2 linked regions of the Macaca mulatta genome follow. The protein of the gene in region 2 interacts with the protein of the main gene of each other region in a pairwise test. Links are inferred from orthologs where the notes say so. Each region holds a gene or a part of one and is shown on either strand. Other genes may lie near its edges.

Region 1 (4,483 bases), on a different chromosome or scaffold from region 2:
GCTGGTCTCAAACTCCTGACCTCAAGTGATCCGCCCACCTTGGCCTCCCAAAGTGCTGGGATTACAGGCGTGAGCCACCACACTTGGCTGGAAGGAGATATTGGGGGGCAGGAATGGCAGGGAAGTATTTTGGCCTGCTGCCAAAGGGGCTAGGGAGCCGCTGATGGTTCTTGAGCATCAGAGAGGTACAGACTTAATGGGACATAGATCAACCAACCAGCAGTTACAATGTCAGCTGTCCCTGAGCTGCTGCTGGACCTGGGTGGTGGGGAGGGGAGCCCTCACCTGAGCACCTTGTGCGTGATGTCATCATCCGTGATCCCACTGTACGTCAGGTCCTCATTCCACACGGGATTCAGTGTGTTCCTCTGAGTCTTCGTTTTTAGCTTATTAGCCTGGGGTGTGGGGATGAAAGGTTCTCAATACCTGTCCTCCAGCCCCACGGGCCGGAGGCACGGGCTGGGCCGAGCAGGGCGAGAGGAGGCTGTTACCTTACAGGCTCCAGGCAGCAGGTGCAGCTTGACGTAGGGGTCGGCGAGGCCATTGAAATCCATGGGCTTGAGGCCCTGGAGAGGAGGGCAGGGGAGAGGGCTGGAGGCTCCCGGCACCTTTCTCCCTCTTGTAGAGCTGGACCCTGGAGGAGCCCAGAAGGGGGTTGCAAGGGCAGGAGGAAGGAGCAGGCCTGGGAAGGGAAGGAGGAATGGGCCCCCTCTGGGGGCTGCACGCAAACCGCCCGGGCTGGGGCAGCAGGGAGTGCCCACCTTGGCCCTGAGGATGCTACAATGCAGAGTGCAGGAGGCCCGGTCATAGAGAAGGTCAAACTCCAGCATGCCCAGGGCGGCTGGAGAGAGAGGAAAGGCAGCATGGATCGGTTTGGAGACAGGTGTGTGAGAGAGGCCAGCAGGTGGGCACTGGCTGTGTGTGTGTGTCTCTCTCTCTCTTGCCAGCCGGCGAGTGTGAGTGCAAGAGGCTGAGTGGGCCCGTGCGTGTGTGCGTCTGGGTCCCTGGCTCGGCTGCAACTGGGGCTGTGTGGGTGGTGGAGTGTCTCAGCAGAAATACTGAATATTGAGCCTTGCTGAAGCTGTAATCTCCACACCGACTGCAGCTGTGGCAGCCATCCCTGCCACCTCCCCCCCCCCCCACTGCCCTCCTCCCCTACCTACATGCACAGCCAGCAGGGCCCGTTCCCCTCCCCCGGGATGGCAAGCCTGGAGACCCCCACCAGCGCATGGGGCCTCCAAGCCCCCAGACTCACTGGCATCATCCGAGTCATAGCTGTCCACTTCCGCACCATCCTCAGGCGTGGTGGCCCCAAGGAGGGCTGCAGGGGGGGCCAGAGCCAGGGGGGCCAGATGGGTGGGGGCCTCGCCGCCGCCGCCGCCCCCTTCAGGTCCGGGTCCCCGGCGAGGGAAGTAGTCAGAGATCTGGCGGATGGGCCGGATCGGCCCGGGGCACACGTTGATGGCCATGTGCTCCTGGATGTTGATGGTCATGCGGTCGCCCCTGCGGCCCCTCATGCAGCACCCCTGGCTGGGAGAGGGCATGTGAGCCAATGAGCCCATCATACCTAGCCACTCTGGCTGAGGGCCAGGCGACAGCCTCCTCGGTCTGCAGGGCCCTCACTAGCCTCCCTTCCTAGGTGTCGAGGGAGAGGGTGGCCTGTGCCAGTTGGTGGCAGGCAGGAGGCCTGGGCCCTGCAGACCCCACGCTGGCTCCACAGGGGCTGGGCTGCCAACCCACTCCCCGCAGAAGTCGAAGTTGCACCACCCTGTCCTCACCCACCCACCTCCAGGTTGTCCCTGTATCATCTTGCCAGCTCCTTCCTCTCCTCCAGGGCTCCCCTCTGCTCTGCTCCTGAGCCTGCCTGTTCCCCAAGGGACCCTGCAGGGCCCCGCCTCTGTTTCTCGGAGGCTCTGTCCTCCTCTGCACCAGGCGCTGGTCTAGTCAAGGTGTCACCCACCCCTCTAGGCTCCCACTGCCCACTGTCCCTTCATTCAGCCCCAGGACCTGTCTGCCTGCCTGGTTCCCCCGCTCGCTCACCACAGCCCCCGGTGGAGACCCCAGCCTCAGATGCCACCCCTGGCTCCCCAGGGGAGCCAGAAATTGCAGCCGCAGGAGAGCCGAACACCCCCGTAGCGCACACAGGCTGGCACTCTCCCCAGCACCCTCACGCCCCCAGCCTGCCCAGCCCCCTGCACCTGCCTCTGCCTCCAACAGGTGCCCAGGCAATGGGGGGACGGCGGGTGCAGGCTGGGCGGCGGCGGCCGGCGAGGAGAGCGCGGAGTCCGGCTGTGCGAGCCGAGAGGGAGGGAGCGCCGAGAAAGTGCGGGGAGGAGGGGGTGAGCGAGGTGGAGGCGAGGATGCAGCCGGCGCCGGCAGCGTGGGGGGGAGGGGGGGGCGGGGAGGGGCGCCGGGGCTGGGGAGGGGGCGGGATCTCGGACTCCCACCCGGGGCCCGCTCGGGAGCGCACGCGAGCGCACACACAGACACGTGTGCCCGCGCGCGCACACTTACGCAGGGGCACGCGGGCCGGAAAACACTCGTGTGCACACATCCAGCCGGGCACCCCTGCGCGCACACGCCCGTGCCCACGTGTGTACGCTCACACCCTTGCACACCCCCAGGCGCGCGCTGGCACACTTACCCGGAGAACTTCGCACGCACACGCACTCGCAAACACGCGGGCTCCCTGCGCCACCAGCAAGCAGCCGCCAGAATTGCCGGGTGTTCCCCAAGTACTCCTGGGAGACCCGGGCCCCCGCCCCCGCCAGCGCGTGTGGCCACTACTCCTCCTTCCCTCCCGGGTCCCCAGGGCCGGACCACCAGCCTCGTTGTCATGGCGACGCCAGCTCATCTCCCCCGAACCTCGCGCGTCTTCACGCCCCTCCCCCGCAGGGAGCTGGGGCCTCCGTCCTCCCCTCCCCATGTCTGTAGGGACCCAGAGGCGGACAGGAGCAGGGGGTCTGATCCGCCTGCTGTCGCCGGCCGGGGATCTCGGGGTCCCCCGAGCCAGGCTGGGGAGCCTCACGATCTGAGGGAGGAGGCAGAGGTCTGACGCTGCGGCTTCCCGCACACCTCCTCCCTTTGGCCATTCAGGCCTCTCTCCTTGTGGCCCAACCCAAGTCCCAGGGGCCCGTGTCCCCTGACCAGGGATGGCATCTCCTTTAGGAACCACCCTCCCTCACCTTTCCCCCTGCCGTCTCCAGTTCTGCCCCGCAGGTGGGAAGGGGCGTCGGGGCTTAGCTCTGAAGGCCCCCGAGCCCTGCGTTCGTTCCCCATGTGCTGCCATTTCTCACCCAAACCCTGCCACCCCCAAGCCGCCCCCCTGCCCTGCCCTGCGCCTACCACGAAGTGTCAGTCCACCCCTGGCCTTCGGTCTTCACTCACCTGTGACCCAAACTTACCATCCCGAAAACACGAAAGGGCTTATCACCCCCGCTGCCCACCACTGACTCACCCAACCGTTTCCTGCAGTTCCCGGGACACACCTAGACGGCTCAGTCCTAAGGATCTTGGCTCACATGCGCTCCTCTACCTGGGACCGGCGTTTCCTTAGGGAGTCACCCTGGGTCCCCTCTTCCTAGGAACCTTCCTGGGGCATCCCACACTGCCCCTCAGCTCCAGCGCCGTCAGGACTCCGCTCAGCACCGTTTCGCCAGTGCCTCCCCCACCAGCAGGGAGTTCCACTGGAGCGGCTGATTCATCTGGGAGTTCCTAGTGTCCCAAACTGGGCCTGGCACGAAGTTGGCATCTCTAAGTGCTGTTATTTAAAAGAGAAATATGGTTGCACGACAAAGTGAACATACCGAACACCACCTAATCTTACCCTTAAAAATGGTAAAGATGGTACATATCGATGTGTGTATTTCACTGCAATTTTTTTTTTTTTTAAGTCAGAGAAATGGAGTCCAGCCTGGTGGCAGATGCCTGTAATCCCAGCTACTCCAGGGACTGCCGCCAGAGGATCGCTTGAGTGAAGCCAGACTGGGCAACACGGTGAGACACAGTCTCTTAAAAATAAAATAATAATAATAAAATAAAAAGTAAGAGAAATGTAAAGTCAACAACACTGAGGGGGTGAGGCACACACCTATAATCCCAACGCTTTGGGAGGCCGAGGCGGGTGGATCACCTGAGGTCAGGAGTTTGAGACCAGCCTGGCCAACATGGTGAAACCCCATCTCTGCTAAAAATACAAAAAATTAGCCGAGCTTGGTGGCATGTGCCTTGGGAGACTGAGGCAGGAAGATCACTTGAACCCGGGAGGTGGAGGTTCCAGTGAGCTGAGATCATACCACTGTACTCCAACCTGGGCTATAAGAGCAAAACTCAGTCTCAAAACAAACAAAAAACCCTGAGAAATCACTTATTACCCATAAAATGGGCAAAATCAAAGTGTCTGGGCCGGTGGTGGTGGCTCACACCTGTAATCCCAGCACTTTGGGAGGCTGAGGTGGGCTGATCCCTTGAGCTCAGAAGTTCA
Region 2 (4,293 bases):
TAAGCATTTTACCCACATTAAATCATTTCTATCCTGGCCCTACTGGCCCTAGATGGTGTGAGGCCTGGGCTGTGCAGATAGAATACCTGGGTTTGAATCCCAGCTTCACTGCTTACTGTTGTGACCTTGAGTAAGTTATGCAACCCTTCTACACCTCAGTTGCCCAATTCATAAAATGGGCATGTGGTACCTTCCTCATTGAGTTGCTAGGAGGATAAAATGGGTAATAAAGATATAAGTACTTAGAACAGTATAGAATAAGTATTGAATACATGCTAGCTATTAGGAGATCTCAGGGGTTGAGCAAGCCAAAATTAGACCCTTATGCTAATCTGTCAAGACACGGCAAGACCTCCCGGACTCAGTGCAGGAGAAAAGATGTCCCTTTAAAGCTGATTTGAATCTCAAATATGACTGTCTGAGGAGTTCAGTTAAGTATTTCTTCCCTTAATTAAGCAATTTAGGTTTTTAATGCTGGCCTCATTTCAAAAAAGGCAGTAGCCTGAGACTCTGCTAATTCTGCAGCATTCCCCAGCTGACTTCCCCACTCCCACCTCCAGTTTTTTTTTTTTTTTTTTTTTTTTTTTTTTGAGATGAAGTCTCGCTCTGTTACCCAGGCTAGAGTGCTGTGGCGCGATCTTGGCTCACTACAACCTCCACCTACCGGGCTCAAGTGATTCTCTTATCTCAGCCTCCCAAGAAGCTGGGATTACATGCATGCACCACCCCACCCAGCTGATTTTTGTATTTTTAGTAAAGACAGGGTTTCACCATGTTGCCAGGCTGGTCTCGAATTCCTGTCCTCAAGTGATCTGGCTGCCTCAGCCTCCCAAAGTGCTAGGGTTACATCCAGCCCCACCTCCAGTTTTTAAGGAGAGTTATGCACGTTGATCATCCATACTGATGACTTCACCTGAAGCGTCCACACCTGACACACCCCTGCAGAACCCACATTTTCTCCCTGTAATTCTGGTATCAGGAACTGGAGCCCTAGTATTAGGAAGTTGTATTAGGAAGTCAGTGGAAGGCAGAAACCATCAGTCCATTTTACGGCCTTCTAAGGTCACTCCAACGTGTCCCAGCAGCCTGGAGAATAACAAATTCAAGGGTCTACTTTGATTAAGAGATTACAACCAAGTTAGTAAAGAATAAACAAGGTTTGCCCAGGGACACGGGAGGGGAGACCTAAAGTTATCGCCTGTAATCCCAGCACTTTGGGAGGCCGAGGTGGGTGGATCACCTGAGCCTGACCAGCCTGGCCAACACGGCGGAACTCCATCTCTTCTAAAAATACAAAAATTAGCCGGGCGTGGTGGCACACACCTGTGGTCCCAGCCACTCAGGAGGCTAAGATTGGAGAATCGCTTGAACCTGGGAGGCGGAGGTTACAGACGTCGCGCCCCTGCACTCCAGCCTGGCGACACAGCGAGACTCCATCTCAAATAAATAAATAAATAAATGAAGTTATCACCTGAAAAAAAAAAAATGTGAGAAGGGAAAAAATAAAAAGCGCTTTCATTTACTTGGCCCTTGCTGATAAAGTTTGCCCAACTCTCCTGTTTAGGTGATGTAATTCAAAGATGAAAAGAAGCTGCGCCCAGTCCGGACCCCAGGCCTTGTGTCCTCACCTAAGAAATCTGCACGCCAGGGATTAACCAGGGGAGAAGGGCCTGGCCGCTGGGCCTTGGCTTCCTCTTAGGCAGAGTTCCAGCCCCTGAGACTTGAGCCGACCGGCTTAAGACGACTCCGGCCGCCGCCGCCCTATGCTGGCAAAGAGGCCTCTCCCCAGCAGGCTCCAGGGGCAGCCACCTGCTCTCTCCCTGCCCTTCCCTACCCCACTCTCCTAGAGCAAGGATGAAGGAGAACAGCTCCCCCTCCTTACTCTCAGGCACCCACAGATTTCTGAGCTGCCGTCACCACTGACGAGAACCCAGGTTCTCTGGAGGGATCGCTTCTCCTTCTCATTCCATCCTCCCCATCAATGAACACGCAGCAACACCCACGCTCCCGCTCCTCCTACTCCAGGGGGAGACCGAACCCGAGAGCGACATCCGGAGCTGGAAGTCGCTGCAACGGGGGCGCCGGCCTCCCTGCCCCGCAGTCTCTCGACCTTTCCCAGACACCGGAGGATCCCAGGCCAGCCCAGTATTCCAGGCGGAAAGGGTGCCCGAGTCTTCCGCAGGGCCCCGCCTCCTTAGGCGCTCGGCGCTGGAGACCTAGGAGAGCGCGCGAGAGAAACGCTGAGCTCCACCCGCGGGGCCCGGAGGCTGGGCATAGTACCCGGGACTCGAACCCCGCGCCCTCGTCCCACAGCTTTAGGCATCCCACAGCAGGCCCCGGCCCAATGCCCCCGCGCCGCGTCTTCCCCGGCACCCCCGCCCGGAGGCGAGTCCCGGGCTGCCAGCGCGCCCATCCTGCCCCCAACAGGTCTCGGGCAGCGGGGAGCGCGCCGCCTGTCCCGCAGGCGCTGGGAGGCGAGCCGGAGCGAAGCCGAGGGCCGGCCGCGCGCGCGGGAGTGGTCGCCGAGGGCTGCGAGCCCGGCCACTTACGCGCGGGCTCTGGGGAACCCCATGGAGAGGAGCACGTCCAGCGCCGATCCATGCTTGATGGTGCCGGGGCGCTGCTGGCGGTTCCTCCGGGGGGTGACTTTGCTGTACAGCTCCTCTCTCGCAGCCATGCCGAGCGGACTGGGTTGGCCGTACTGAGCCATGGCTCAGCGGCCAGCCATCGCCAGGGAAGGAGCCCGAGCCGGATGGTCCGGGAAGGAGGAGGGAGTCGGGCTCGGCCAGAGGAGGGGGCTCGGGGACCCAGAGCCAGGCAGGAGGCGGCGGCGGCGGAGGCGGCGCTCCGAGCTTCCCCAGTGTCGAGACTCTGACGCTTCCTGGTGAGGCCACAGGAGCCAGAACGCCGGCGAGCGGCCGCTGCGGGACCAGCCTTAGCCACTCGGGCCCCCGGCTGCCCCCAGCGCTGCGCCTGCAGTAGCCCTGTCTCCTCCGCCCCCTTCCCTCTCCTCGCCTAGCAGTCCGGGAATTTGCAATGAGTAATTTTTGAATGGATCAAAAAGGAAAAGGAGCCTTGTGGGCTGGCCCTGACTTGCCTGTACCCGGGCCCCGCCCCTCTCTTAAAGCGGCCGCGCTGTCCGAGGCTGCTCGGTGCGTGGAAGAGCTCTAGTCGCGCTACTTGGAGGCGGAGGATCCCAACCTTATGGGCTGCTTGTGTGCTTCAGCTCCCGACCGTCACGCCGGGCGCCCCAGCCCTCTCTTTGGCTGGCATACCCTCCCAGCTGGGCCTCAAGACAGCAGATCAACCCATTTCAAGTTTCTTGTGGTTCTAGATGCGGTCATTAACGGAAATCGGGTGAACTGATGGATGATACTAATGGACCAGAAGGCCAAGTCATAAGTCCTAGGTAAAAGGTTTTGCTTCCCAAAGATCCTGCAAAACCCAAAGGGTTGTTAGGACCATCGGAGGCTGAGTTCCCAATCAGCCGTCCAAGTGGCTGCACTCAAGACCTACTGTGCTCTACAAGGTTATGGTCAGTGACTGGATAGTGCCTTCTGGGTGGGGCAGAGGGAGTGGGGAACAGGACCTCATGTTCTCAGAGCTGGCAGGACCCGGGAGGGGACAAGAAAAGAGGGGCAGGGCAGAAAGAAGAAGAGGGAAGGGAAAAAGAAAGGAGGAAGGAGGAGGAGTAGAAGGAAGGGCTAGGAGGGTAGAGGAAGAAGGAACAGAGAAAAGACACTTCCTAATTATAAGAGGTGTTCAAAAGGGAATAGGCTTATTTCATGAGGGAGTGGATATCCTGTCAATAAAAGGATTCAAAGAAGGACTGAATCACCACTGCACAATAATAAGTGAATTGTATCGTAGGTTGGACAAAACTACTCCCACTGCAAAGATGGTGGAAGTCATAACCATATTGATGCTCCATGCCCCACCTGGTAAATTTGGCTGGGGGATGTTAACGCTCTTTCATTTGGAAACAAAGTCATTGTCTTCAGTCAGGGACAAGGGTCCCACTTGCTATAATGAAAGAGGCAATGAGTAAACCATAACCGATAGTCTTTTTTGGGTAATAATAGTAATAATAAAACCTAACATTTATTGGGCTCTTGTATGTGCCTGTCATTGTGCTGATCGTAATAAATGAATTAACTCACTGAATTTTTACACTGACCCTAGGAGTGTATTTAATCATTATCCCAGTTTTATAGATGAGAAAACTCAGCTCAGAGAGGTTGGGGAAGATTATAGAGCTGGTAAGTGCATAGCTAGAGCACTTGTATCCACTAC

Evidence for each region.
Region 1: the proteins of UBASH3B (region 2) and DOC2A interact in binary tests that used the Homo sapiens proteins (3 or more experiments, as listed by UniProt). The link is inferred for Macaca mulatta from reciprocal best matches to the Homo sapiens genes UBASH3B and DOC2A.

The regions. Positions count from the first base shown.
Region 1 is NC_133425.1:28,559,573-28,564,055, reverse strand, and holds the start of DOC2A (double C2-like domain-containing protein alpha), read right to left. Parts: upstream 3,034-4,483; 5' UTR 2,839-3,033; coding exon 2,645-2,838; intron 2,328-2,644; exon of another isoform or gene 2,290-2,327; coding exon 2,199-2,289; exon of another isoform or gene 2,041-2,198; intron 1,901-2,040; exon of another isoform or gene 1,787-1,900; intron 1,531-1,786; coding exon of another isoform or gene 1,527-1,530; coding exon 1,256-1,526; intron 842-1,255; coding exon 762-841; intron 567-761; coding exon 492-566; intron 396-491; coding exon 286-395; intron 1-285. UniProt on the Homo sapiens protein: Calcium sensor which most probably regulates fusion of vesicles with membranes. Binds calcium and phospholipids. May be involved in calcium dependent neurotransmitter release through the interaction with UNC13A.
Region 2 is NC_133419.1:123,272,682-123,276,974, reverse strand, and holds the start of UBASH3B (ubiquitin-associated and SH3 domain-containing protein B), read right to left. Parts: upstream 3,037-4,293; 5' UTR 2,711-3,036; coding exon 2,550-2,710; intron 1-2,549. UniProt on the Homo sapiens protein: Interferes with CBL-mediated down-regulation and degradation of receptor-type tyrosine kinases. Promotes accumulation of activated target receptors, such as T-cell receptors and EGFR, on the cell surface.